Astyanax mexicanus: one gene and its partner. The protein of the gene in region 1 purifies or fractionates together with the protein of each later gene. This does not show direct contact. Links are inferred from orthologs where the notes say so. Each region holds a gene or a part of one and is shown on either strand. Other genes may lie near its edges. The genes, in order: cand1 and dcun1d3.

The links.
Region 2: the proteins of cand1 (region 1) and dcun1d3 purify together in Homo sapiens (affinity purification with western blotting; 3 studies listed by BioGRID, with this or other methods). This does not show direct contact. The link is inferred for Astyanax mexicanus from reciprocal best matches to the Homo sapiens genes CAND1 and DCUN1D3.

What each region holds. Positions count from the first base shown.
Region 1 is NC_064409.1:11,545,172-11,549,096, reverse strand, and holds the start of cand1 (cullin-associated NEDD8-dissociated protein 1), read right to left. Parts: upstream 2,966-3,925; 5' UTR 2,712-2,965; coding exon 2,644-2,711; intron 1-2,643. UniProt on the Homo sapiens protein: Key assembly factor of SCF (SKP1-CUL1-F-box protein) E3 ubiquitin ligase complexes that promotes the exchange of the substrate-recognition F-box subunit in SCF complexes, thereby playing a key role in the cellular repertoire of SCF complexes.
Region 2 is NC_064413.1:56,192,448-56,196,372, reverse strand, and holds the start of dcun1d3 (DCN1-like protein 3), read left to right. Parts: upstream 1-1,501; 5' UTR 1,502-1,903; intron 1,904-3,925. UniProt on the Homo sapiens protein: Contributes to the neddylation of all cullins by transferring NEDD8 from N-terminally acetylated NEDD8-conjugating E2s enzyme to different cullin C-terminal domain-RBX complexes and may play a role in the cell cycle progression by regulating the SCF ubiquitin E3 ligase complex, after UV damage.

The DNA of each region.
Region 1 (3,925 bases):
ACTAAAAATATATTTAATATACTGTAGAAAAGAGTACAGTTTTTAATACTAAAGACACTGCACAAAATGTACAAATCAAACTCCCTCTTAGACTTCCCTCTTTCTGAGGTAATCACTTCATCTTTATCTAAAAATAAAGACAAATCAAGTGCACATGAGCATATGAGGGACAACATATTTGATTAAGCATCTTTAAAACGTTGAATTCTCCAACAAACCGAAAATGGGAAAATGGAATGTTTGGCTCATCTGCTGGCACTTTCTTATTCTAAATTGCAACAGAGTGATGTCATGACCTTAAATCTCTGAAAAGTAAATTAACTGATTATCTTGCTGCAACGGCGAATGGGTGGGATACTGTATACTGTATTAGGTAGCAAGTGCGCAGTTGGTTCTTGAAAAAATGGGCAAGCGTAAGAATCTTAAACACTTTGACCAAGGGACAAATAGCGATGACTATATGAATGGGTCACAGCATCTCCAAAACAACTTGAATAATGAGCGATCCTGGCATGCTGTGGTTGCTACCTACCAAAAGTGATCAGACATAGCACAACAAACAGACTCAAGAATGTCCAACCTCTCAATCTACAGAATTGTTGCTAATATCTTCAAGTTAGATACATCAAAACAAGTTTTATGGAGCATACTCCAGGATGGGTTAAAACTGTTGCCTGCAACATATTGAGACACGAACACATCAAATCAAGACATTGGAGTATTGTATCTTGGTGAATTATGCAAACAACATTAGGAGATTGCAGCGTAAAAAGTTAGTGTGGTGTGGAAATAGCATTATCAGTGAGGAAAACTAACAATTTCACTCTTTGAAGCAATAGCTTGCAAACAACCAACCCTCAACTCCAAAACAACAAGAGCGTGCACCACAGTTCTCTCATCTCTATCCATAGTAAGTTAATAGTAAATTGTACCTCAATTTAACACTCATTTACAATGCTGCAATAAACAATGTCGTCATTATTAATTATTGTCAACATTGACAAACACAATAGGCGAAATCAGGATCATCATATATTATTATGGTGATGTCCAATTTTTTCAATAATGTACTTATTGTGACTAAATTTTGTAGATTTGTACTGAACTTACTTGACATTGGTTAAACGTGAAATATTTGATGGATAATATTTTTAATGTAGGTTTTAAACTTGAAGTGTTGAAATTTTATGTTATGAACACATTAAAACAAAAATGTCTGATCCATAAATTTAAACCTATCTGACTGAAAACTGTTTTTATAAGTTAAATGATGTGTTTTGTTTAATTTTCCTGAAAAGCCAGGATGTTTCAACTATGAAGGAAATGTTTTCAAAGCAAAAAGCATTGTTAGTTTTTATTACCAAAAACTTTTATACATGAAATAGATGGTTAGCGTTACTATTCTTAGACCGTTTTATTTAACGTTTTTAAACGTTCTGGTAACGTCGGTGAATTGGTGTTAACGTATTTTAATTTTTGTGTTAGCAATGCTACTTTTAACGCTTTGATAAATTTTAGCATTGGTCTAGATTGGAATGTTATGTGAGAAACGCTTATATTTTTACATTATTAGCTACTTCACACGTTTTCAGAAAGTCCCTTAAAATTATTTCTCTAACGTTACAGTATAATATTACTTTTTGCTCAAGTTTAGTAAATGTTAAGTAGATTTAATTTAGATTCGAGCAATTGTCAACTTATGTGAGCTGCATAGTTTTGCACCTGCAGCCACTTACTATAAAAACACAACGTGAGTCAACTTCCACTGGTTACAATAATAATGGCACCAGCATGCTAAACATCTAAATTACCTAGATAGCTAACTAACTAGTTAACATACATTGTTGCCCCACAGACTAAACTCCTGGTGATAACTTAATAACCTTAGTGTTGACAGAGAAAACACGACTATTCTATTAGCTAAATAGATTAGCCAACGAGTTAATGACAAGACAAGATGACAAGTCAACTTTGTGACAGGCCACACTAGCTAGCCAGCTTTGTTAAATTAGTCAGCTAACCTACATCTACATCTCATGTTAGTAGATTTGTTCAAAATATAACGTTGACTATCATCCAAACAACTGTTACTGTGCAATAAAACGGTGATTATCTGTTTCATAGTTAAGTTAGCAAGCCAGCGCAGCCTCCCTCCGCACCAGCCTGCTCTAGAAGAGCTCATAGCGCCCTAATGTTTGCTAATAGTGCTAGCTAACGTAACTGGCAAAATCAGCCGTTTAGCGCGCTAACCTGAGGAGCTAGCTTGCTTACATTGTTAGCGAGTTAGTTAGCAAGCTAGCTAGCTTACTGTTAGCACAAATCCCCACTTACAGCGAATTAACTCCATAAGGTTGATTTAAAAGCAAAAATAAGACGTTCCAACTGTCTTTAGCTATCTTATAACTTGTCGACTAACTGGCTGGTGCGCTAAACACAACAGCGGCGGATCTGCGGCCTAGCTAACTAGCAAGCTAAGCTAACCAAGCTAGGCTAGCTATCGTTAGCTTAGCCTACCCAGCTCCAAACTCAGTGCACGATCCCCATTTCAGAACGAAAACACGGCCCACACGCGCTGCAGCTCTAACAACCACACATATACCCGAACTTCACACCGCAGCGGCGGTATTCGGGAGCATGGCTCACCTGAAATCCTTATCGCTGGAAGTCATTTTTTCCAGGAGATTAGAGATGTGGTATGAGGCGCTCGCCATATTTGCAGTCAGTCAGTTGGAGCAGCTCGCTGGTAGCAACCACTTGTGAGTATCGCGGCCACAATCACTAGTTATCCTCCCCCTCCACTTTCTCGCGTAGCTGCAGCGCTGCGACACAAAGCCGGTTCTCCACGCTCTCTGCAGTCTCTGTGCGGCTCTAGCAGGGCGGCGGAGTTACACTTGCATCCCCCTGAGTTTGGAGGTTTGAATGGAGGTCCTGCTTCGCTCTGCAAGAGGGAGGAGCTGCGGCTCCAGACGGAGAGGGCAAAGTTGAGAGAGATCTCTGTGGGCGGGGCCTCGCCTTCACCGACAGCTAAACTGGCCAATCGCAACGCAGGAATAAAGATTACAGAGTTTGGAGAGGTTCAGCGACAACACAGCTAACAGTTTTATTTAGTATCATTTTTAGTTCTAATTTATTCCCATTTTCTCCCTAATTTACACGTCCAATTACCCAACAATTCCCTATCACTAGTGATGCCCCAACAACAGGGGGGTAAAGACTGGCACATGCCTCCTCTATTATATGTGAAGTTAGCATTACTGAGTAGCATCACAGCGCAGTGAGTCGGTTCAGATCATAGACTGTGTATAGCTGGACAGAACATCGTCTCTCAAAAGTGAAGCCACCACAGGTCGGGCGCCCCCTGCTGTTCGGCTGCAGAAAGCTGTATAACCCCACCCACCCCCATAGGTTTCAATGGCAAAACAGACAACTTTCAATCACGTTTTTTTCTAATATACTGTAATTCTTCCACCTTTATTTAAATGCAACAGCTGGTGTAACCTCTGCTTATATTGTCAATTTGTTTTATATTCCCACAGAATTCGTTTTTTAAAGCGTTATTCAGCTCTATTTAAAAAGGTGTGGTTATTGTAAAAAGGGCTGGGTTACACCTAGCTGGGGTGGGACCAATGACTGTATGGGCGGGACCAATAACAGACCGAACCTGCATCATGTTCTTTTTTCCCCTTACGTCAAGCAGTAGACTAGTACTAGTAGTTAGTCAAACGTTTAGCTAGCTAACTACCATTATTATTTTTTATTAGCTAAACTGAATTTAGATAGCTGTATTATTAATGTCGTGTTCTGCTGTTAATTGCTCTAACAGACATTCTGGACAAAGTTCTTTGCAGTTTTTTCGGTAAGTTTGCTGGCTGTTTTTCCCTCCACTCCTTTGTCTGTGTGCATTTTATTTTATTAGTTATCATCT
Region 2 (3,925 bases), on another chromosome or scaffold:
AAAAGCGCTATAGAAATAAATTGAATTGAATAACGGGTTCTTACATGAAATTCCAACACAGATGGAAGCAGCTGCGCTTCTCTTCGTCTCCCCTCACTGTGCCCCGCCCCTCTCCCATATGCCCCGCCCTCCACAGACACAACGCCGATAGATAGATAGATAGATAGATAGATAGATAGATAGATAGATAGATAGATAGATAGATAGATAGATAGATAGATAGATAGATAGATAGATAGATATTTATGCCGAGAGAAGTTTAGGAAAGAACAAGCAAGGGACTGGAGATAGGGGGCACCCAATTTACTGACTATCTATAGCCAATCAAAAGCAAGGTTTAAATTCGAAATAGTATCTTCAATATCTCAACATTTTAAGCTCCATGGACCAGTGACAGAATAAAAAAACATATCACATTTCAAAAAAAAAAAAAAATAAAATTAAAATAAAATACATTTATTTGCAGAATCCCAGGCAGATCCAATCCAGATATTGGGGTTGATCCAGTCCCAGCTATAAAGTAGATCCATTCCATGTTTTGAAGCAGATCCAGTCCTTATTTTGAAGCAGATCAAGTCCAGGTACTAAAGCAGATTCAGTCCTAGTTTTGAAGCAGACCCATTTCTTGTATTGTGGCTTCCCCAGTCCTGATATTAAAGCAGATCTGGCCCTGGTATTGAAGCAGCTCCAGCCTTGATATTGAAGCAGATCCAGTCCGTGTATTGTGGCTAATCCAGTCCATGTTTTGAAGCAGGTCAAGTTTTGGTTTTGAAGATAAGATAAGATAAGATACTTTTATTGTCATTGCACAGTGTACAACGAAATTTAGCAGCAATCCTTATGGTGCCTGAACAAAAATAAAAGAAAACAAAATAATAACAGCTCTATGTACAAATACACAAATTTACACACATTTACAGTGGATGTATGAAAATATAGGCAATATAGTAACAATTTACCCAATAATAAATACAGAAAGTGCACAGTGCGTTGTAAGTCCAGCTATTAAGGTTTGTACGTTTAATTTTTTAGTTCCTTGGTAGTGGTCTGAGAGTGTGCGTGCATTTTGCAGTGTTCAGTTCTCGTACAGTACTATGGTAAAAACTGTTTTTCAGTCTTCAGAAGCAAATCCAGTCCAGGTTTGTGGCTAATCCAGTTCAGGTTTGTAGGAAGATCTGGTCCTGGTATTGAAGCAGAGCAAGTCCATATTTTGAAGCAGATTCATTCCTTGTATTGTGGCTAATCCAGTCCATGATTTGAAGCAGACACAGTCATGTTTTTTAAGCAGATCCGGTAATTGAAGTAGATCCAGTCCATGTTTTGAAGCTGATCAAGTCCTGGTATTAAAGCAGATCCAGTATTGGGTTTGAAGCAGATCGAGTCCAGATTTTGAAGCAGGTCAAGTTTTGGTTTTGAAAGAAATCCAGTCCAGGTTTTGTGACTGATCCAGTCCATATTTTGAAGCAGAACCAGTCCATGTTTTAAAGCATACCCCTTCCTTGTATTGAGGCTAATCCAGTCCGCGGTGTTAAACCAGACGCAGTCCGTGTTTTTAAGCAGATTCAGTCCGGGTTTTGCGGCGGATCCGCTCAGGCTGTACAGGACGTGACGGAGGGAAAATTCCCATAATGTTCAGTGATTGAGTAAAGATCAGCAGAAGAGGAACACAAAGAGAAAAACACTCTCACACACGCACAAACCCCGTATCTCCCTCACCCAGCACCGCACTCACACCGGGACCCCCCGGAGCCGCGCTGCGGGCTGCCGGCCGGGCCCTCGCCCCTCGCTGGAGCTGTAGAGCCGGGCTGAGAGCAGGAGCGCACGGGGGCTGGAGCTGCTGGATGTGGAAGTGTCGGACCCGCGGCGGCGGCGACCTGCCCCGATCCCCCCGCTTACTGCCCAGGTGAGTCTCTGAACCCGCCCCCTGACTCCACTACACCCCACACACCTGAACTCCGCTCACCTGAACTCAGCTACACCCCGAACACCTGAGATCCACACTCCTCAACTCCTCCGCGCTCCGAGAAACAGGGCGAAGCAGCGTTTAGCACCCCAGCTAATTAGCCCGATGCTAAAGCTAACGGAAAAGTGAACGGGATTTGCGCTGAATTGGGCCAGCAGCGGGCACACTGAGCTAGCTTAGTTAGCCTGTTAGCTTAGTAAAGCTAAATAAGACTTTGTCAGCTCTGTCAGCGCCGCAGAAAAGTATAAACGATCTAATAAACTAAATAAACAGAAGAGTAAAGTAGATGAAAGCCTGATTTTGTAGGTAAAGTCCTGTTTATTTAGTTTACTTTAGTTTAAATACAGTAACAACACAGCTTAGCCTGGTTAGCTTATGTAGGCTGTAGTAGAGTTATGGAGCTAGCTTTAGCTTTAGCTACTTCTGCTAAATCCCTGTACCAACTACAGTAAAAGTCATTTGATCATTTAACAACATTTATATATAAGCATCATAAACCACAAACCCCATAAAATATATAATATATATATAAAGTTCACTGTAGCTGTTTAAGTAAGTCTAGTATGTAAGTTAATTTACCTCCGTTAAACCCATAAAGCTATATATATATATATATATATATATATATATATATATATATATATATATATATATATATATATATATTAGTAGTGTCAGTGGATTAAAACATTTAATCAGAATAATCACAACAATATTCTGTGATAAACTGCGATTAATCACAATTTTCATTCTTAAGACAGGGTTTTATAGTGGCCATTTAAATGTAATTTAAAGAATGAATGTAAGAAAAGTAAAATGTGAATATATTAATATTAATTAATCTAAATAATAGTTTCTACTTGTATGTTTGAGGGGAGATAAAGCCGTAACGTGAGGCGCTGGAATAAAGAATGAATGATAAATAGGATATAGGAAACATTTTTTTTACTTTGTTGTGAACATCTCAGCTTGGTTGTAAGGATTTCTGAATTAGAACTTGGTATAAAAGAGCGTTTTTACACCTGTAGTTATGAAAGTTTCTAAAATCCGGATCAGTTGATAAGTTTATTTATTTGGCACCAAAATGCGCATCAATAAACTACACAAACACATCAGAGTCTCCTCTGATTGTCAGAGCTGTCTGGAGCAGGAGTACGAAAGTAAATATAGTGAGAAGATTCTGTGTTCCACTGTGTATATCTGTATATCTGTGCAGTGTAAAGCCGCTTTAATATAGAACGCTGAGAATTTGCAGCTGCGCTTTTAAACACAGTGTTTTCAATGGGACATGCAGCACAGATATGAGCAGTGAATGCATGTAAACAGCATGGAGCAGCAGAGACAGCGTTCATTCATAGCAGTATATTATCTGGCTAATATATCAGAATAAACTGCTGTGTGTGTGTTTGTGTGTGTTTGTGTGTGTGTGTGTGTGTGTGTGTGTGTGTGTGTGTTCAATTGAAGGTGCTGGTCAGTGCTCAGGTACAGACATATACCAATATAAAGTATAGAATTTAATTTAAATTCATGTCATATCAGACAAGACATTGTTTGACACTAATAGAAACCATATATCATTGCTGTCATGTCAAAACCTTGTATCTACAAAAATACATTTTTACAGGATTAGAGAGAATAAGACTGTCCCTAACACTGAGACTGAAGTTCTTGGGGAATAGAATAGAAGAATAGAAATTCTTCAAAATTTCATAAAATAAACACTCTTTATATCGACTAAAGGAAGCTTTTAAAAAGGTTTTATCTCTCTTCTGTAAAGTAGCCGTTTTAGAAATACATGTTTTTCATTGGGCAGCGATGATACGTTAAAATGTTTTATTTAGGAAGGAAAATAAACCTTTGAATAGAATAAAGGACAGAGTCCAAAATTAATGAGTTTATATTAAAGTTAGTTTATACGGAAATATGCACTTGTTTTATACTGAATACTGAAATATGTACTTA